Linked DNA regions of Rattus norvegicus. The protein of the gene in region 4 interacts with the protein of the main gene of each other region in a biochemical or structural test. Links are inferred from orthologs where the notes say so. Each region holds a gene or a part of one and is shown on either strand. Other genes may lie near its edges.

Region 1 (5,507 bases), on a different chromosome or scaffold from region 4:
AGCTCTCACACAGTCAGGCGAATGTTGTTCTGGGCTAGCCTGAGGTACAGAACAAACCTCTGTCTCAGAAAATGAACTAATAATAATGATGATAGTAATGATAAAATCTTTAAAAGACCCTTAGATTTCTCCAAGAAAAAGGTAAACCTCAGTGTTTGTGGAGTTTTCTATTTTAAAAAATTATTTTATTTAAGTTTTTGGTATTTATTTTGAGACAGGGTCTTATGTGGCCCAGGCTTTCCCTATATAGCCAAGGATGACCTTGAGCTGCTGACAGGACAGGACAGGCAAGGCCCAGGGGGTGCTAGGCCAGCCATCTACCCGCTGGGCGGCTCCCCCAGCATTTGCCATTTTAAAGAGGAATTTAGGGCACCATTTTGAAGAGGGATTTAGGCACCAGTGCAGGCTATGCCCGCATGGCTCTGGGACCACTCTTAGGGTGACTTCTGCCAGGACCTGCAGGGCAGACAGAGGCTGTGTGTCATCCCATAGGCAGATGCCATCTCTGAGCTGCATTGTGCTGCCCTCTGTGCACTGGGCCTGGGTTCGGGACTGGGGAGCGGACCTCGTGCACTCACGGTCGAGCCGCAATAGCCTTATTTATTGTGTTTGTGTGTGTGTGTGTGTGTGTGTGTGTGTGTGTGTGTGTGTGTGTGCGCGAGAGAGAGAGAGTATGAGAGAGAGAGGGAGGGAGAGGGGCCACAGTGTGACTCAGGGTCCACCACTCAGTCTTGCATCCCTGAGCGAGTGCGGCCTTCACTTGGAGAGCATATCAGAAGTTAGCTGGGCTAACAAGCCACGCTTTTCCCATTGCTCCTGTCTGAGCCACAGGCCCTTGAGCGGCTGAGCCTGTTCAGGGCTGGCCGAGAACAGGGTCACTGTGCAGGCTGTGTTGGCCTCCCGTTCCTGACCCTGTGGCTGCGCTAGGCTGGCTTTATGTTTGTTTGTTTTTTGTTTTTTGTTTTTTTCCAGGACAGGGTCTCACTCTGTAGGACAGGATGGCCTCAAACTCACAGACGTCTACCTGTCTTACCCTCCCAAGTTTTGAGGGCCTTTTGGATTTAAAAAGAAATATTTTGATGGGCTTGTGGGCACAGGACTTTAACCCCAGCACTCAGGAGGCAGAAGCAGGCAGATCTCTGAGTTCCAGGACAGCCAGGGCTACACAGAGAAACCCTGTCTTGGAAGAGAGAGAGAATGGGGGGGGGGAGGTAGTGCTGTTGTTGAGGTGGAAGTCAGAGGACAACTTGGGGGAGTCACTGCTAGGCAAGAGCCTACCCCACTGAGTAGCCTCATAGGTCTGGAAAGCAAGCCACAGACCCAATCCCTTGATTCCACTGACCTGTCCTGGTCCAGGAAGGTTGCCACTACAAAGAGAAAGCAAGTGGAGTCCAGAAAGGTAGAACAGCCAACCTAGAATCACACAGCAGCAGAAGGCAAAGAGACCCCAGCCTCCAGCCCCGATGAGACTAGAGAGATGGGCTGGACCTGAAGAAGTTTCCTGAAGCCAGGACACCATGGGGTGTCTGTTCCTTTCAGCCCTGGGCCATCTCAGTCTTCAGCATTTGTTGTTGTGTGGAGATATCTCCCCAGGTTTGAGTACTCGGGTTACCGCCGGCTGTGTGACCTTGAACCTCTCACTCACCCTCTCTGGGCACCCACTGAATCCCATGTTAAGATGAGATAGGGGGATGACAAGTTCTGCAGCCCTCATCTCCTGCAGGAAGGTACCTCTGACTTTGGTGGTTGTTATTCCATTGAGAATGCTTTTGGAATTTCAGTAGGGGAAACTGAGTAACCTCGCCTGCCCAGGATTGCAGAAAACCCAGGGGTGTCCTTAAATGCAGCCAGATGTGGTGTTTGGCCCTGTCTCAGTTTGCATCTTGGGGCTGTGGCTCAGTTGGCAGGAGAATCAGGACTTCAAAGTCATCCTCAGCTACATAGTGAGTTCAGGGCTAGCCTGAGCTACATGAGACCCTGTCTCAAAAAAAAAAAAAGTTTTTGGCTTGACCCTCCAGAGGTGCCCCCTACCCCGAGGGGACCTCAGTTGCCTTCCCTTGTGTGTCCTCAGCCTGAAGCTGGAGTGTGACAAGCTGGCCAGCGAGAAGTCAGAGATGCAAAGGCATTACGTCATGGTAAAGCCCTCTCGGGGCGGGGGCGGGGGCGGGGCGTTGTGAGCGGCGACCCCAGACTCCCCACATACTGCAGGTGCCTGCTACCGAGTCCCCACAGGCTATCGGCAGCCTGGCCACCAGCCCAGGTAGTGGCTGAGGTGCCAAACCACCGGCTCGCAGCTCAGGCCGGCCAGGTCTCAGCCGTCCTTGGCGGGCTGCAGGAGGAGGCAGCTGTGGAAGCCTGCCATAGCCAGCCGGAAGCAACAGTTCCCTCCCTCCAGGCCATCCGGATGGCCAGGCATCCCTTAACCCTTCCTTGACCAGAGACCTCCTAACCCCCACAGGACCAAAGGGATTGTGCTTCCGTCCTTTAGTTCCCAGCAGGGGAGGTTGCTGGGGTCTTGGGGCATTGTGACTGGGGTCTTGAAGAACAAATAGGAGCTCACTGGATGGGGGTAGGGTGGAAGGGCATTGCTGGAATGTGCAGGGAGAAGCAGGCCACCCATAAGGCCACAGCCCTTTGGCCCTGACACGCTTCTCCACCTCACAGTACTATGAGATGTCTTACGGATTGAACATCGAGATGCACAAACAGGTGAGCCTCAGTATCCCTCCTCCATGACCCCAGTGCCCTGTGATTCCCAGACTGAGCATTGAGGCCACTCCTGTTACCCCCAGAGGTGGACTCAACTCCCCCTCCCCTGCCCTCCAAGTGCCCCAGGTACTGAGGGAAAACCATGTGTTCCAGGCTGAAATTGTGAAGAGGCTGAATGGGATTTGCGCCCAGGTTCTACCCTATTTGTCCCAGGAGGTAAGCAAGCCACCAGCAGGGAGCAGTGGGATTCCCTTCTCCCTGTGCTGAGCAACCCCCTGAGCACACACCTGCCCTCTCTGAACTTAGCAAAGGTGTGAATCGGAGCAGCTGGAGTCAGACCCCTGTGGCGAGGCAGAAAGTGCTACCGGGGTGGGCGGGCCGGCGCAGATGATTGATGGGGGACCGGGTGGGCGAACTCTGAGGAAATCGCTGTGAAGCTGGATTCCTAGTCTCCCACCCCGCCAGCCCCTGAGCCCCTAGGACCGGACTTCCCTTGTGCACTCGAACCGATTGCCCACTGCACAGGAGCCTCCCCCTTATGTTTAAACTCCAGCCTGACTGTCCCTTTGCCTGAGAGAACTGTGTCTCCTCCCTTGCCTCTTCCAGCATCAGCAGCAGGTCCTGGGAGCTATCGAGAGAGCCAAGCAGGTCACGGCTCCCGAGCTGAACTCCATCATCCGAGTAAGTCGGAGCTCCTGGTGGGCGGGGACTTGGGTGGGCAGGTGTATGACCCACGGTGACTGGGGTCAGGTGACAAGACCCTGAGCTGACTCTCACCCCACCCCCACCCTCGCCCCACAGCAGCAGCTCCAGGCTCACCAGCTGTCCCAGCTCCAGGCGCTGGCCCTGCCCCTGACACCGCTGCCTGTCGGGCTCCAGCCGCCATCCCTCCCTGCGGTCAGCGCAGGCACAGGCCTGCTGTCACTCTCTGCTCTGGGCTCTCAGACCCACCTCTCCAAGGAGGACAAGAACGGACACGATGGGGACACCCACCAGGAGGATGATGGAGAGAAGTCCGATTAGCTCCTGGGGAGAGGGAGGGGGAGGGGGGATACCAGGGGAGACAGGCACAGAGAGCACAGTGTTCTGAGGGCCACACTGCACACAGCTCGGTCCCTACCCAAGCTTCCACCTCCAGTCCTGGTTCCAGCTGTGCACCCTGGGCCTAGGAGACGCCAGAGGGACAGCCCAGGCTACAGGGAAAAATTCCCCACCTTCAACATTTCCCCGGGCTACAGCCACCAATCTCGGCCCAGAATGTACACAACGCTAGCCGCCCCTTTCCACCCTGTGCACCCCGAATTTGCCCCCTTTCCCCTTCTCTGCTTCCTGCACTGCACACCTGCTAGGCCCAGACCCCTCCCCCCAGCTCACCCAGCTCTGGTTCCCTCAACCGCGGAAAGAAAGCATTGGCTCGGGACTGCAGTGGGGGTGGGCACCCCACAAACTTCCCTCTCCCCTTCCCCAAATAAACGTGAGGGTTAAAAGTCGGTTTGTTTATTATTTCTTTTTCGTCCCAGTACTCTATAGCTACCATCTAAGAGAGAAAAAGAAGGAAGCCCTGGAGCGAGCGAGGGTCTGTCTGTGCATATAGTTAGATTTTTCTGGTCGCCTCGGCTTTGCCACCGAGAGGTGGAGGGCCGCTGTACTGAGGGTGGGGTCTAGCTGTGCCTTCAAAATAAAAACATGAAAAGGTCGGATGGTGTGTCCCTGCCTCTGTCTTGTGGGGTGGGGACCCCTTTCCTCAGGGCACCCTGTGTTCTGCAATAAGACACTCCTTGAGCAAGCAAAGGCCCAGAGGGTAAACTGGGGCCCTGCAGTCCTGGGGCAGGACGGTGCAGCTCAGTGCTCAGGTTTTCAACTGTTTTGGCAGGGTGGCCTGTGGCACCCACATGGGTGCCTTGGTTACTTTCTGAGAGGTGGCCTGAAGGCTCTCTGTACCCCTTCCAGGCTAGGCTGTCCCCTGGGGACCATGCCTTTTTGGGCCTCAGTTTTGGGCCTTTTTCTGTCTTGGTTTTCTGTGTAGCCCTGACTATCCCGAACTCATTCCTCAAACTCATAGAAGTCTACCTGCCTCTGCTTTCTGAGGCCGGGCAGTGGCGTCCTGTGCCACCTGTTTTCTTTATTTGTTTTCTGTTTGTTTTTCATTTGCTGGTTTATCGTGTCTGTCCGGTTTGAGGACCTCTTACAGGAATCTGTCCTCATCCTCCTTGTATCCTCGGGGTCAAACCCAGGGCGTCACTCTTTGTAGCAACTCCTTCACAGCAAAGCCATGGCTCTCTCAGCCAGTTTTTGTTGTTGTTGTTTCAGACAGGGTCTCACTGTGTAGCCCAGGATGGCCTGGAACTTGGTTTGTAGCCTGGGCTGGCCTTACTCGGATCCCCAGATTGTTTCTGTGTTTTGAGACAGGTTCTTGCTACAGCTCTGGTCCAAGCACTAAGAGGCCTGGAGTTCACCCTGGATCTTGGGGTACTGAACCCACTCGGGATCTTCAGCCAAAGAGTCAGAGGGTCTAGGGGGGCCAAAGCTTCTCCTCCCTCTGCTCCTGGGAAATCATTTTGAGGTATCTCATTGAGGGGTTATTGCCCCCTTTCCCCCTGTGGCTCTTGTGGGGAAGGTCCTGCCAACAGCTGGACTGGCAGTACGGGGACCCCAGGGAGAGTGCTGAGCCAGCTGACCTTGTATAATTGATCACCTATGTTCTAGTCACCTGATGAAGTGTGGAGGGGGACAAGGAGGGGGCTGAGGGTCCCAGCTCCTTATGCCCAAGACTTGAGCCTAAGACAGCAATGGTGACC
Region 2 (4,039 bases), on a different chromosome or scaffold from region 4:
ATCTAAACCTGGTAGGAAAAGAAAAATCAAAATCAACCCCCTTCTGACTCCTTCACCACAAGAAAAAAAAAAAAAAAATTCCCCCTGTCCCTAGGGCTCTGCAAAGAAACAGGTCTGGACAGGGTACGAGGGCAGGACCCTCCCCTCCACCTTAGGGTCAGCGTTCTACCTTGGATGTCAGCCCCCAGCGGGAAGGCAGGTGGGTACTCATGTAGTGGGAGACTAGACAGGAAATCACTGCCCAGTGTACCCATTGCAGGGCTCCGCAGCACCGAAGACGGCTGGTGACCAGAGGTCAGGGCTCTGTAGTGGGGAGAAAGAGCTGGAGAAACCAGCCAAACACGGCTGCCCAAGGTCCCATCGTCCCTGCCCTTCCCCATCCCATAGCTTGCCCGGTGGCCAAAAGGCAGTTCTGACATCTGCCCCCTCCGATACAGAAGCAGCCTTTTCTCATACCCTTTGCTTCCAGGAAGGGCTGGAATGGCAGCCGAGGTAACAGGGCAGTGCTTCTTGGTGGGGGGCAGATCTTCCTCATCTGATGAGCTTTCGATTGTCAAGTCAATGACTTCAACCCTCTTCTTATTCTCTGACTGATTTCCCTCCTGGACTGGGCTATACTGGAGACCTATGGGTGGTTCAGAAGGCTGTCTCAGAAAAAGGGCCACCCATGACTGAGTGCAATGGGAGAGCAGAGGGTCACTCACCATCCAGCCCATACCCTGGTGGGGGGCAAACCTCGGATGCCTCCTTCTTGGGTTTCATTGGACACCAGGATCCATCTTCCATGAACTGGATCTCATCACAATCCGAACAGGAATTAAGAATTTCCATGAATAAACTAGGGGAGGAGGACATGGCGATTCACGACCCTGGCTGGAAGACGGCTGGAAGCGCACTCAGTGTTCTGAGACTCACTTCCTATGCCTTAGTCACCTCGTCTGCATTATCCACCCCACTGCACCTCTCTGAACTGACGCTGGAATAGGAGGACAGCACAGGCTGGGACTGCAGCTCAATAATAGAGCACTTGCTTAGCATGCAGGCCCTGAGTCTGAACCCTGGCATTGTGGGGGAAAGTATGTAAGAGAGCTGTGGAAGGGGACTAAGACTAGAAAACTTGCTTATTAAGGGTTAGGGTGGAAGACTAGTTATATAAGCCCATCCAGGATCTCAAAAAACAAAAACAAAAACAAACAAACAAAAAACCACCCTTATTGTGTCGACCTAATAAATGCTTTTGTGATAGGAAAAACGAGGAGGAGCCCTGACTGCAATGCTCTGCAGGAAGGTCTGGTAGTCGTCAGCAATGCATTTGGAACAATTCAATGCACAGCCCTGTCACTTACGAATGTGACCTTCAGTCCCTTTCCCCATCTATCATGATGGCACCTATGTCGTGGGGCTATCAGGGGGACTACTGAGAAAATGCAGTCAGAGTGCTCACGTCCTTAATGTTACGCACATGGTGGAGGCTAAAGGAGATGGAAACAGTGAAAGCTGGGACTTAGTGACTGTCCCAGAACAGAGGGAAGCTGAAGAGCCCTACCCATCAATAATCAGTGACTCATAGGGAGCCTTCTTGTCACACACAGGGCACGTCCATGTTGGCTTTTTCTCATTCATCTGTAGATAAAGGGCAGCATCGAAACTCTGCAGGTGGGCACAGGTGAGAGCGCGGCATGGGACAGTCAGGCGCATCTTCCCCAGCTGAGGAGAGGAGAGTTCACTCTAGCAAACCTCCCTCTAGTATCCTGAGGGACCCTCTTCAGAATGTATCCCAGCCCTCCTCCCACTTCCTGTCCCCCACCTTGTACCCACCGGGCACATGAGTGACACCCGGAGACTTGTAGTAGCCACTTCACTGTCGGGGTCAGCAGTCAATTTCTCCTTGACTGAAACAAGGATGGGGCCATTTCCAGGGGTCAGTGAGGCTGGAAGCAGCCTGGCAGCAGACAGCCCCAGATGACAGGCAGCTGGGTAGAGTGTCTGGGGGCTCATGGTGGGTCACAGGAGTGGAGAAGAGATGTCTACATCCCTAAAGATGCTTAAACAACGCAAGGTGAAATGTGGGCTACGTTAGGGACGATCCAGATGGGAGGATTGGACTTCAGGCTTCGGTACAGAGAGCTCTGTCTTAGTAGGGTGGGATTAGAATCTTAGGAGGGTGAGATACAAAACTGTTGTGTGATTCACAATGCAAAGCTCTTCCCACTGCCTGAGGGTCTAACTCCTCAGCTGAGACTGAGGAGAAAACCAGGGAGACCATATGCAAGAGCTGTTCCTGAGAAAGCCTGAGCTCAAAGTAGAAGGAGGAAAGGACTGTTACTCACTCAGTGCTCGGGAATGGTCTGGATTCCGGATACCCTTGGCTCTGAGCTTTTGTAGCAGGGTCCCTGCAGTCAACTGCCTCACCAGGTACACAGACAAGGAGTAATTCTACTTGGGGAAGGGAGAGGGAGCATCAGTTTCTGCTTCCCACGCCTCCTCTTTCGAGATGGCCTTTGTCTCACAGAGACCAGAGACAGTGGCCTTTAGCACAGAGACCTAAGAGCAAGATGAATCCCCAACTCAAAACTAGATGGCCCCCTGCAGCCTCTACAGCCTTTCGGCTTCAGCAATGCTCACCCGTCCAAACTCAGATGACCAGTTAACCACTATGGTGTTGGGAACAGTGGCTGAGAGACGAGCCAGGGGTGTGATGTTGATTGGACGACTAGGCCTCTTGGGCTCAGCTCCATTCTTGGTTGGAGGGAGGTAACCCTGAGGAAAGGAGGGATTTGTTAGTGGAGAGAGAGCGCTGGGAGAGGTTCAACTCTAACAACAGAACTCCTGTCTCAGATTACTCTCTGGAGGATGGCCAGCTCACCCAGGAGCAAAGGAATCAGGATCCGCTGAAAAACAAGGGCCCTGGTAGGGCTGGTGTAAGGGAGTGAAAGTGGGAAGGAACCCAGTCACTGGGTCCCATGGGTCCACTTCATCTAATATCACCTTTTAGAGGTCTTTTCATAGTAAACTAGTGTCCCTCTACTGGGTTCTGACAAAAACTAGTCAGCCCTATTTTAATTATCGCTAGATTGTATTGATTTCATCAATAAATTGAGCAACTACTACGTGCCAGGCACTGTCCTAAGCATGTCTTTTCATAAGAGGTTTTTACTTAATATTTATTCCTTGCCAAAGGGAGAGACTCTTTACCTACCGGCAGGGGGCAGAGTTTCCCATTAACCTTGACAAAGAGGTTAGGGGGGAAATAGTCCTCCTGGGGGCAGCTGGTCTCACAGAGACAGAACCTGGGGAGAAAGGACAGACGAATGGGGGGTTAAGTGGCAGTTTTCTGATGTGAATCGAGAACTGAGCAGGGAACTCCAGAAAAAAGAAAAACTAGCCATAGATATCTGTAGCCATCAGCATCCTGAGGAGTCATGGGCCAGAGTGGACTGGGGCTGGGGGCGGGGTGGGGGGGGAGGATGCCATCTACCTATTTAGCACCCACCCTGGATAAGGAGCAACTCACCTGAGCTGCACTTGTATGGTATAATCGCACTTGGCTCCTGGCAGAACCTCCCTGCGCAAAGTAAGAGCAGTTCAGAGCAGAAGCAAGCCTGGGGCACAGAGAGGAGAGTCGGCAGGGACAAGGCGGGGATGGGTGTACCTGGATGTGAGAATCTGCTGCAGCTGCTGGGGAGTGAGTGCAAAGGTAAAGTGGGCTTCCTCAAACCTCTGACTGGAGGTGGACGCTGTGGACACAAAGGCACCGTCATTCCCAAGCCCCTGCCTGAGAAGCTACTTGCTTCCATCCCACACTGCTGATCCTTCAAGAGTAAAACCTAATAGGAAAAATTCCAGCCTGAACCAGAATCCAGAAAGCCTGAGAGACCAGTCAGCCATACCAAGGGTGGTGGGCCGGATGAGCTCTCCGTAGACTTCGTAGAAGGGCAGTGGTTTCATGGTGACGTCAGGGTGCACAGGCTGGGGCAGAGGAGGGTGCATGTCCACCTCACGCTTAGGGCCCAGCAAGGTGCCAGGGGTCAGGAGGGTG
Region 3 (4,707 bases), about 270 kb from region 4:
TCCATCAGCAGAAACAAAGGAGCTGCTGCAGTCAGCCTTGTTTATCGGTTTTTCCTGTGTGGTAAGGACAAGGCTGCCTCCTAAAGGCGAGCAAATGTGAGCCTGCTCTCTTCTGTGCTGTGCGCTCCAACACATTCATACCTTAATTATAGTTATTACTGCTCACTGAATCAACTCAGGCTGTACTTGTAGTGTTGCTGTGTGTGTGTTTTTATTAAGCTATGCAGTGGTCTCCTGTGACTGCTCAGTGAAAGTCCCTATCAGATCCTACGTTAGTGCTTGTCCATACAGCTTTAGTTGTAGGTATTGGCCACTGAGACTGAGACCTTCTCCCTCTTGCTTTTCATGCCTCCTTATCCCTACTATCTCCATCAGAATCCTGGCAGGCCAGAGATCATCTAATCTAACTGCCCCAATCTATAGGAGAGGAATGGAGGTTCATACAGATTAACCACATGACTGTGTCCATGTGGTGCCTGTACCAAAATCAGTCTTTTTACTCCCAAATCCATCCTGATGTGATCTAGATGACACCTTCATGGGTCCTGGGGATACTATGGGAAAGAAGTCTCTTCTGCCCTCAATGTTTTTTTTTTTTTTTTTTTTTTTTTTTTGTGGGGTGGGGGTTGGAATGTGGCTCAGTTGGTGGAATACTTGCTTAGCATGCAAGAGATCCTGGTTTGATTAGCGAGCACCACATAAAACTGGATGTGGTAGTGCATGCCTTTTGGGGAGGTAGAGGCAGGAAGATCAGAAATTCAAGGTCACTATTGACTGCATATGGGGTTGGAGGTGAGAATGAGCTACACGAACCACTATTTTTAAAAAAAAAAGATTGAGGGCTGGAGAGATGTCTCAGTGGTTAAGAGCATTGACTGCTCTTCCAGAGGTCCTGAGTTCAAATCCCAGCAATCACATGTGGTTCACAACCATCTGTAAAGCTCTCTTCTGGTGTGTCTGAAGATAGCTACAGTGTACTTATATATAATAAATAAATAAATCGTTTTAAAAAAAAGATTGAATATGTGACTGGGATATAGCTCAGTGGTAGAATACATATAGCACTTTGGAGGTTCTGCATATGAGCCCCAGAACAACAAAAAGATTGATTGACTGATTGATTGATTAAAAATATGAGTCCTTGGGGTTGGGGATTTAGCTCAGTGGTAGAGCACTTGCCTAGCAAGCGCAAGGCCCTGGGTTCGGTCCCCAGCTCCAAAAAAAAAAAAAAAAAAAAAAAAATGAGTCCTTACAAACTTACTGAACCAAAACAAGGTGGGGTCGTTGAACATGCTTAGAACCACAAAACCCCTCGCTCTCCAGTTTGCTGTCTTGTTATAAAGTACTTAGAGAGCCCCTCAGATTTCAGATCGCCTCCTCCAACACCAGACAATTCTTGGTGTCGGTTGGGAAGAGCCTGAGGTGGGCTTTGGTGTAACAGATTTTCTATTACTAGTTGTAGTGCTTAGTAAAAGTGGTCCTACCCCATGGCACTTCTCAGCACTGTGCCTGCCTTCTTTCCCCTAATTACCTTTGGATTGTTTGTACATGAAGAGCTTTTAAATTTTATCTTATTTGTATGAGCGTTTTGCCTGTATGTATGTGTGCCACATGTGTGACTGGTCCCCACAGACACCAGAAGAGGGAATTAGATCCTTCTAACTGTGAACCACTATATATATGGATTCTGGGAACCAGACCTGGACAGGTCCTCCTCGAGAACAGGTGTTTTGGGTTTGTTGGTTTGTTTTTTTGTTTTTTTTTTTTTTTTTTTTGTTGTTGTTTTGTTTTGTTTTTTGTTTTTTTTTTTTTTTTTGTTTGGTTTTTGTTTGGTTTTTGAGACAGGGTCTCTCTGTAGTGTTTGGTTGACCTGGAACTCTATCCAGATGAGACAGGCCTCGAACCCAGAATTCCACCTGCCTCTGCTTCTTGAGGCATTTCTGTTGTGTTTTATTGGTTTTTTGTTGTTGTTTTGGTTGGTTGGTTTTTTAGTCTTGTGTAGTTGAGGCTGTCCTTGAACTACATATCTAGCTGAGGATCACTTAACACCTATACCTCCCGTCCCGTGTGCTAGGATCACAGGTGTGTGCCACCATACAGCCTAGTTTGAATTTTGAGGCAGAGTTTTGCTGTCTGATTCAACTGGCTTTGAAGTTAGGGTAATATACCTACCTTAGTCTTACTATTAGACATATGTACCATTTTCTAGAACTGAATAGCGTTTTGACGGGTGAATCTGCTAATAGTGCACTAAAAATCTTGTGACGAGTCCTAGATCTTGTTGTTTTCCCCATTTGTCAGGAAGTTAATATCTACAGTAATGTCTGCAGCTCAGATGCTTAGGCTAAGACAGGTAGCATTAACCAGCTTGAGCTGGACATATGGGAACCACAGAATGAGCCATTCATTTCTTTCTTGTCTCTTCCTCCCCCAGTAGTGACAGATTGAATCCAGAGCCCTGTGCGGGCTGAGCAAGCTTTCTACCACATCTGTTTCCTTGACCATTCTTCACTCTATGTGGATTAAGATTTAAGTTTGACTTGGCAGGAGGATTTTCATGAGTTTAGCACTTGGGCTGAAGAATGAAAGAGACCTTGTCTCAGAACAAACAAATATTTAAAAAGTTTATGTCTGACTATACACATGATAAATTTGTGTGTCCCATGATTATTATTCAGGGGCTCTGTAACTTATCTTTCCTCATGTGATAGCTTAGTGAAGGTTCTTCTTGTCCCTTGAGGCAGAATAGGAGGCAAATGACAGAAAGAGAGTCTCTTAGATCCCTGAGCCTTTGAGAGAAGCAGTTGACAGGGAAGAAGGATGATTTGACCCCATCCCTCTATGTTTTACCGTCCTGCAGCCTTGGGGAGCAGTACTACAAAGATGCCATGGAACAGTGCCACAATTATAATGCCCGCCTGTGTGCCGAGCGTAGCGTGCGTCTGCCTTTCTTGGACTCTCAGACTGGAGTAGCCCAGAGCAATTGTTACATCTGGATGGAAAAGCGGCACCGGGGCCCAGGTAAGGTCGCAGACTTCAGGAACGGTGGCACAGGAGCACGAGGAAGCATCTGCTATCCCCTAGGAGATGCTCCTTAGGCTCCTTAGGTAGTAGAAGGCTCCACCACTGTCACACTGGTAGATGAGAACCAGGGGGGATGTAGCAGCCGGCCTTTGTTTTCAGCCTCTGAGGCAGCTATGATCTTCCGAGGACTAAGAACAGCTGTGTACTTCAACTGACATCTGTTTTTCTTTACCATGAAGTATCCCCACCCGGCCCAGGCTCACATGTTCTGTACCCTTGCTCTAGAACTCAATAAAGTTCTCATCTACAAGATGTTTGCCGTTGTTTTTAGGCTGGATTAGGGCTTAATAGTTCTTCCTTCCCTTCCTTCCTTCCACAGGATTGGCCTCTGGACAGTTGTACTCCTACCCTGCCCGACGCTGGCGAAAAAAGCGTCGAGCCCACCCACCTGAGGATCCCAGGCTTTCTTTCCCGTCTATTAAGCCAGGTAGAGGCTGGGGTAGCTCAGTTGCTAGAGTGTCACCCAGCATACACTGGGCCCTGGGTTTAATATCCTGCTTTGCATAAACTGAACATGGTTGTATATTCCTATATAACAATACCATTGAGGAGGTTGGGGCAGGAGGATTAGAAATTCAGGGTCATTCTCTACTAATAGAGAGTCTGAGACCAGCCTGGACTACATGAGAGCCTCAAAAACCATGAAATTCCCTCAAAATGATATGGGTTGGAGAGAAGTCCCAGTGCTTGTGTGAACACAAGGACCTAAATTCTAGTCTAGCATTTATACAAAGCTCAGTGTGGCCAAGGCCAACATGTTCCTGTAATCCCAAAACTCTGAGTACAGAGCTGGCGCTTCTAGCTACCAATCTAATTCAGTGAGAGACTCCAAGGCAATAAGGCAGAGCCCCCAGTGTCCTCCCAACATGTGTAGCCACATGTGTTCATGCGCCATATAGACATATATGATTATGTCTTATATGTCATGACTAAAATAATCCAGAGTAAATAAACCAAGTAAGGGGCTCCCTTCTCAGGAAGGCCATGGTCTGTATGAGGGGAGGCTTGCTGATTGCCGGCTCTCCCCAGGCTCTGTTGAGCTTGCACATACTTTGCTTCTGTCCTTCAGGGAGCCCACTGTTAGTGAAAACAGGTAATGCAGCTTATTCCAGTGCCGGCTGAACAGATACATCTCGGTTCCTGGAGAACAGAAGTGGCTGGGTTTGACTTGGCCCCTCGTGGTGTAGATTCAGCTTCAGCCCTTCTGAGTTAGCTTCATCTTGACTTGTTGCAGACACGGACCAGACTCTGAAGAAAGAGGGCCTTATCTCCCAGGATGGCAGCAGTTTAGAGGCTCTGCTGCGTACTGATCCCCTGGAGAAACGGGGTGCCCCAGATCCCCGAGTTGATGATGACAGCCTGGGCGAGTTTCCTGTTACCAACAGTCGAGCACGGAAGGTATGTCGTTCCTATCTATGGCTAAAGGACTTTAATAAGGATCAGCCTCTTTTGGGTCTACTAATTGGACCACTAATCGTGTGCCACCAAGTGCTGCTGGGAATTGAACTCAGGACCTCTGGAAGAGCAATCCGTGCTCTTAACCTCTGAGCCAATTTTTGGTCCAATTAGTAGAACTGAAGCAGATCATGGTAGAATACATGCCTGTTGATGTGTAAGCCCTAA
Region 4 (5,154 bases):
CTCCAGCCTGTAGCCATCTTTTTTTTTTTTTTTTTTTTTTAAGAGCATCTTCTGTTGCTCTGGATGGGTTCAAATTATGTAGAGGAAGATGACCTTGAACTTCTGACCCCATGAGTACTGGGATGACTGGAACATCCTAGACCTAGGAATCAAACCCAGAGCTTCCTTCAATGTTAAGAACTTTCCTGAGTTGCCATCTCTAGCCCTTATTTTTCAGTAAGTACACTCATGTTCATATTAATTAAATTGCAACTATATGTCAGTTTTTAAAAGTGGTTCGTGCGAGGATCAATGATGGCTGTGTGCCATTAATCGGAGACCATAATTCATTCTGTCACCTTGATGTCCGCCCCCGCAAAACATTAAACTGCTTTTTCTAATCTGCGCCAAGTGAGAAACTGAAATGAGTGGGAGGGGCGGTAACTATTTTCACTTTTGTCTTCCTGTTTTTTTCAGAGCCTGGGAAAGAAGTCAGAATTTCCAATCTTTTCCAATTCCCACATGATTTCCTAATTTAGAGAAAATAAGTCTTTCTCCATGTGCTAAAGCCTCCTCTGCCCCCCACCCCGCCTCCTCCTTCTGGCATTGTGGAGGGAGCCTGATGTGTTGATTCCTCCAGCCAGTGTCCCCAGACTCAATCTGCACACCCGCCCTTGGCTTAGATGGCAATTTTCTCTCCCTACAAAAGCTTTCATCACTGGAGCTCAGGCTCCTGGGAGGCCTTCAAGGAGATGCTCAAGTGGTGTGACCCTGGCTAGCTCCGGAGATCCCTAGGGATCTGAACCTTAGCAGACAGGACCTATCTGTGGAGGCGAAGCCCTGGAGCTCTTCCAGCATTCATTGCTCTCAGGGACTCTTAGAGGTACAGGTGTCTACCTCGGTCCCCTCTACACCAAGGCCTCAGTCAAGCCTTGATGAAGCATGCTTTGGGAAGCACTCCTGCGCGCAGCCGGATCTAGGTTGGGAGCATATGGCCTGTAACGCGCGGCGGTCCCCAGAAGGCCCTGCACGAGTAGGAAAACGTGTGGAATTCAGTCACTGTGCTCCGCGGAAGCAGCAGGCCTGAGCCTCTCCTTGTGCAGGGCGAATGGCCGCAGCCTGCCAGCAGCCCGGGCTCTGCTCCAGACCAGGCCAGGGTGACATCACCAAACTCTTGAGATCAGAGCGGGGCGGGGAACGGGACCCGAAATCCCCTAAAAACAGAGTGAGTAATCGCGGGCCCGCCCTCCAGGCGGGGCCCGGACACGGAGCGAACCGCGCTGCGTAGTCCGGGAGCGGCTTGCAGTCGGGCGGGCCTCAGGACGAATAGCCTCGGCGTCCTACCGCCGCGCTCCGGTGTCCCCGCCCGCGCGCCGCACACCTTCCGCGCCCAGCGTGAGTTGCGCACCTGCTCTCGGCCCCCACGCGCGTCGGTGGCGGCGGCGCAGCGCGCAGGCGCGGCCGGATTCCGGGCAGTGACGCGACGACGGGCGCGCGCCGCGCATTTCCGCCTCTGGCGAATGGCTTCGCTTTAGCGCGCCGTGGGCTCAGCTGCGACCCCGGCCCCGCCCCCGGGACCCTGGCCATGGACGGTGAGGCTGCCCTCTGGCCCGCGGGACGGCTGCCCTAGAGTTCCGGGACCTGCGGCGGGATCCCCCTCGCGCCGTCTTCCGCCCCTTTCTGCGCCGCGGGTTGCTGCGCAGGGAGCGGCAGGCCGGATGGTGGCACGGGGCGGGGCGGGCTGCGAGGGGTCTGACTCAGTTGCCCCTCTCAGTGGAGGGCGCCTTGACTCAATGTCCCTCCTGGGTGGGAGTACGGGTGAATCTTGACTCAGTTTCCTCCGGCTTCCCCCCCCCACCCACTGTGTCGATGCGATTAGTTCTGGCTTCCTTTCCGTGTAAGGGAGAAAGTATCTGACTCAGTATCCCCCGAAAAGGAGAGGGGGTAGAACCCTTCCTCAGTGTCACTTATGAACGTAAAACAGGCTCTGACTCAGTTTCCCCGGGCAAAGGAATACCTCTGTGCCCCTTTTCTCTAGTAGAGAGATGCTTTTGCCTTCTTTACCTGGCCTCTTTCAGGGCAGGTCTTAGGATCTTGGCTCAGTTTCCTTTGGAGGCATTCCCTGGTGAGGGTGGGTACTGGAGTTTATTGACAGTGTGCCTTGTCTTTCCCTTTCAGATCTGTTTCCCCTCATCTTTCCCTCAGGTAAGTGGACCATCCTTCCTCAGTAGGTAGGGGCTGTCCTGGAGTAGGGGCCATGGGGGCAGCACCTAATGGCTGACCGTATCACCCACAGAGCCAGCCCAGGCTTCTGGGCCATATGTGGAGATCATTGAGCAGCCCAAGCAGCGGGGCATGCGTTTCCGTTACAAGTGCGAGGGCCGCTCTGCAGGCAGTATTCCTGGGGAGAGAAGCACAGATACCACTAAGACGCACCCCACCATCAAGGTAAGCAAGAGCCCCCAGGGGTGTCGGGGTGGGGACACAGATGTGGTGGAAGGCACTGTGGAGCCCCAGCAGACTTGCCTCCTTGCCACCGCGCCCCGTGTCTAGGAGCCAGATTTGGGATTGCTGGCCTCTAAAGTACTCTGTACTTTGGACAGATCAATGGCTACACGGGACCAGGAACAGTTCGAATCTCCCTGGTCACCAAAGACCCACCTCACCGGCCTCATCCACATGAACTTGTGGGGAAGGACTGCCGGGATGGCTTCTATGAGGCTGAACTCTGCCCAGACCGATGCATCCACAGGTGAGTCTGAATAGATAGGCTGGGGGTAGTGTGAGGTCAGGGTAGGTAGGGGGCAGGGTAAGAGCAGGCTGGGCCAGGCAGCTGTTACAAAGTTACACTTTTCTAAACACTGGCAGAATCCAGAGTCCTTGCTCTGTCCCCAGGTCTGCAAACAGACCCCCTTTGTCTTAAATTCGCTAACAGATGGGAACTCTTTATCTTGGAGCGACAGATCCTTTATGACTGGATAGCCCAGTCCCTTAGGCTCTTGTATCAGAAAGTCCGTAATGGACTCTCCTAGAGCTTAAATACCAGTTGGTAAAACCAGGGGACAGTTGTACAAACAGATAGAAAAGATACTAGTGGAGAATTATAATTTCCATGATGAAAAGAAAACACAGTAATAAATTAGAAGGAGGAGGAGGCTGGTCTCGTGGCATAGGGACAGAGTCTCATATAGCTGAAGCTGGCCTTGCACTCATGAGGGTTCACCTACCTCCTCTTCTCAACTCCAAGGGTAATAGGCGCGTAGCACCATGTCCTGTTACGTAGGTCTCATGACTTTGGGTTGGAAGATTGCAGAAGGCCTCTGTGCTAACACTCAAATGGTGAGAAAAAGCAGACAAGCCCAAAAGAACATTGCATGCACAAGAAAGAAGTATGGTGACCTGGAAAAGGGACTAAGTTTAGTGTGCTCAGGGACGGGACAGGAAGGCCCTGTGGCTGAGGCTAGGACACTGACTTGGGGGCTGGTGTGGGCCAGGTCCCTCAGAGACTCGCCAGTGGGTAAGGAGTGGGTTCATTGTAGCACAGTGGGAAGCCTTGAGCTGTGAGCTGAGGAGTGGGAAGAGGGTGTTCTTTTGGAGACACAGAACTAATGCCTGAGGCCTCAGCTTCCAGAACCTGGGGATCCAGTGTGTGAAGAAGCGAGACCTGGAGCAAGCCATTAGCCAGCGCATCCAGACCAACAATAACCCCTTTCAAGGTAGGAGCAAGGGGCAGGACATAGCCTGCCTGTGGTGCACATTCTGCCACCTTCCCTGGGCCTCTGGCGCTCCTCACCCTCCATGACCAACCCAACAGTACAAGTGGAACCTCGCTGCCAGCATGGTACACACTCACATGCTACCGTTGAGAGTCAGGCCTAGAAAGGGGTGGTGTATTCAGGTCCCAGTAGAGCCGTGATGGGTCTAGGATTTTGTCTTCCTCCCCTTAGACTTCTGTTTTATATATCCTCAAATCACCTTCCTCTTCCCTCAGAGCTCCCTGCCCTCCCCATGCCTTCCACCACTTTTTTTTTTTTTTTGACAGTTCCCATAGAGGAGCAGCGCGGGGACTATGACTTGAATGCGGTCCGCCTCTGCTTCCAGGTGACAGTGCGGGACCCATCAGGCAGGCCCCTCCGCCTGACCCCTGTCCTCTCGCATCCGATTTTTGATAACCGTAAGTGGCCAGCTGCAGTAAGGGGAGAGGGTGGGCTTGGGAAGAGAATGGGGCTGGGGTGGGTGTGGCCTTGCTGCAGGGGGCAGGGCAGAGAAGACCCAGAGCTGCCTCTGTGGGAAGCTTGCAGGATGCCCTGGAGTTGGATGGGAAGTGACTGTTTTCCATATCTTGTGTTGAGATGCTGGTGTGCCAAGAACTGTGCTCATGACTTTAGGAAACCAGATAAGGCTAGACAGCAGTAAATGAACATTAGTAGCTCACAGGAAGCTCTGATGACCTGGGCTGACACTGATGGATTGCAGTCTTTAGCAAGCAGCAGAGCAAATGAAAATAGAAGGGCTTTAAAATCCTAAGGACTGGAAACCAGTATGAACTGGAAGTGAGGAGCAGAGGGCTCATTGCCAAGGCAGGGATGAACCAAAAGCTGAAACTCTGAAGCTCAGGTGGAAGGAGACAGATGTGGCCAGTGTCTCCTCTGGACTGGAAGGTCTGTGAGGGACGGAAATGCAGCCTTCCGTGTCCCTCTTACCTAGAGCCGAGCTACAAGCACTGCAGGGAGACTGTGGTGAACTGGCTGACCTGAAGAGCAGACAGCAGAAGGTCTGCAGAAGTGTAGTCACAGGCTGTGGGCGACCTTGACACACGGCTGGGCTGGGCGTGACTGTTACGGCTCCTTCGGGGTACCCTGAGACCTCTGATGTTTCAGGTGCCCCCAACACTGCCGAGCTCAAGATCTGCCGAGTAAACCGGAACTCTGGGAGCTGCCTTGGTGGGGATGAGATCTTCTTGCTGTGTGACAAAGTGCAGAAAGGTACACGTTGGACTCTGTGCACCGAGAGGGGAGGGGAGAGGCTGAGCAGGGGTGATGAGTGCCAGCTACCTCAGTGACTTCAGGGGAAGCGGGAGATGTCACAGGGAAAAGCATCAGGTGCTGAGGACAACAGTCTGTCGGGGGTCACACATACTAACCCGTACTGCTGCTGTCTCCTGCAGAAGACATT

Evidence for each region.
Region 1: the proteins of Rela (region 4) and Tle5 form a complex in vitro, tested with the Homo sapiens proteins (2 studies listed by BioGRID). The link is inferred for Rattus norvegicus from reciprocal best matches to the Homo sapiens genes RELA and TLE5.
Region 2: the proteins of Rela (region 4) and Pias3 form a complex in vitro, tested with the Homo sapiens proteins (2 studies listed by BioGRID, with this or other methods). The link is inferred for Rattus norvegicus from reciprocal best matches to the Homo sapiens genes RELA and PIAS3.
Region 3: the proteins of Rela (region 4) and Dpf2 form a complex in vitro, tested with the Homo sapiens proteins (2 studies listed by BioGRID). The link is inferred for Rattus norvegicus from reciprocal best matches to the Homo sapiens genes RELA and DPF2.

The regions. Positions count from the first base shown.
Region 1 is NC_086025.1:8,793,022-8,798,528, reverse strand, and holds the end of Tle5 (TLE family member 5), read left to right. Parts: exon of another isoform or gene 1-2,065; intron 2,066-2,071; coding exon 2,072-2,135; intron 2,136-2,664; coding exon 2,665-2,709; intron 2,710-2,827; coding exon of another isoform or gene 2,828-2,842; exon of another isoform or gene 2,843-2,862; coding exon 2,863-2,925; intron 2,926-3,315; coding exon 3,316-3,390; intron 3,391-3,510; coding exon 3,511-3,732; 3' UTR 3,733-4,406; downstream 4,407-5,507. UniProt on the Homo sapiens protein: Transcriptional corepressor. Acts as a dominant repressor towards other family members. Inhibits NF-kappa-B-regulated gene expression. May be required for the initiation and maintenance of the differentiated state.
Region 2 is NC_086020.1:186,924,522-186,928,560, reverse strand, and holds part of Pias3 (E3 SUMO-protein ligase PIAS3), read right to left. Parts: coding exon 3,891-4,039; intron 3,738-3,890; coding exon 3,653-3,737; intron 3,566-3,652; coding exon 3,515-3,565; intron 3,291-3,514; coding exon 3,200-3,290; intron 2,761-3,199; coding exon 2,626-2,760; intron 2,437-2,625; coding exon 2,331-2,436; intron 1,893-2,330; coding exon 1,819-1,892; intron 1,708-1,818; coding exon 1,547-1,707; intron 839-1,546; coding exon 705-838; intron 626-704; coding exon 457-625; intron 304-456; coding exon 170-303; intron 9-169; coding exon 1-8. UniProt on the Homo sapiens protein: Functions as an E3-type small ubiquitin-like modifier (SUMO) ligase, stabilizing the interaction between UBE2I and the substrate, and as a SUMO-tethering factor.
Region 3 is NC_086019.1:212,621,189-212,625,895, reverse strand, and holds part of Dpf2 (zinc finger protein ubi-d4), read left to right. Parts: intron 1-2,860; coding exon 2,861-3,021; intron 3,022-3,403; coding exon 3,404-3,511; intron 3,512-4,318; coding exon 4,319-4,482; intron 4,483-4,707. UniProt on the Homo sapiens protein: Plays an active role in transcriptional regulation by binding modified histones H3 and H4. Is a negative regulator of myeloid differentiation of hematopoietic progenitor cells. Might also have a role in the development and maturation of lymphoid cells.
Region 4 is NC_086019.1:212,352,833-212,357,986, forward strand, and holds the start of Rela (transcription factor p65), read left to right. Parts: upstream 1-1,503; 5' UTR 1,504-1,564; coding exon 1,565-1,571; intron 1,572-2,157; coding exon 2,158-2,184; intron 2,185-2,275; coding exon 2,276-2,427; intron 2,428-2,582; coding exon 2,583-2,731; intron 2,732-3,603; coding exon 3,604-3,695; intron 3,696-4,021; coding exon 4,022-4,153; intron 4,154-4,859; coding exon 4,860-4,964; intron 4,965-5,146; coding exon 5,147-5,154. UniProt on the Homo sapiens protein: NF-kappa-B is a pleiotropic transcription factor present in almost all cell types and is the endpoint of a series of signal transduction events that are initiated by a vast array of stimuli related to many biological processes such as inflammation, immunity, differentiation, cell growth, tumorigenesis and apoptosis.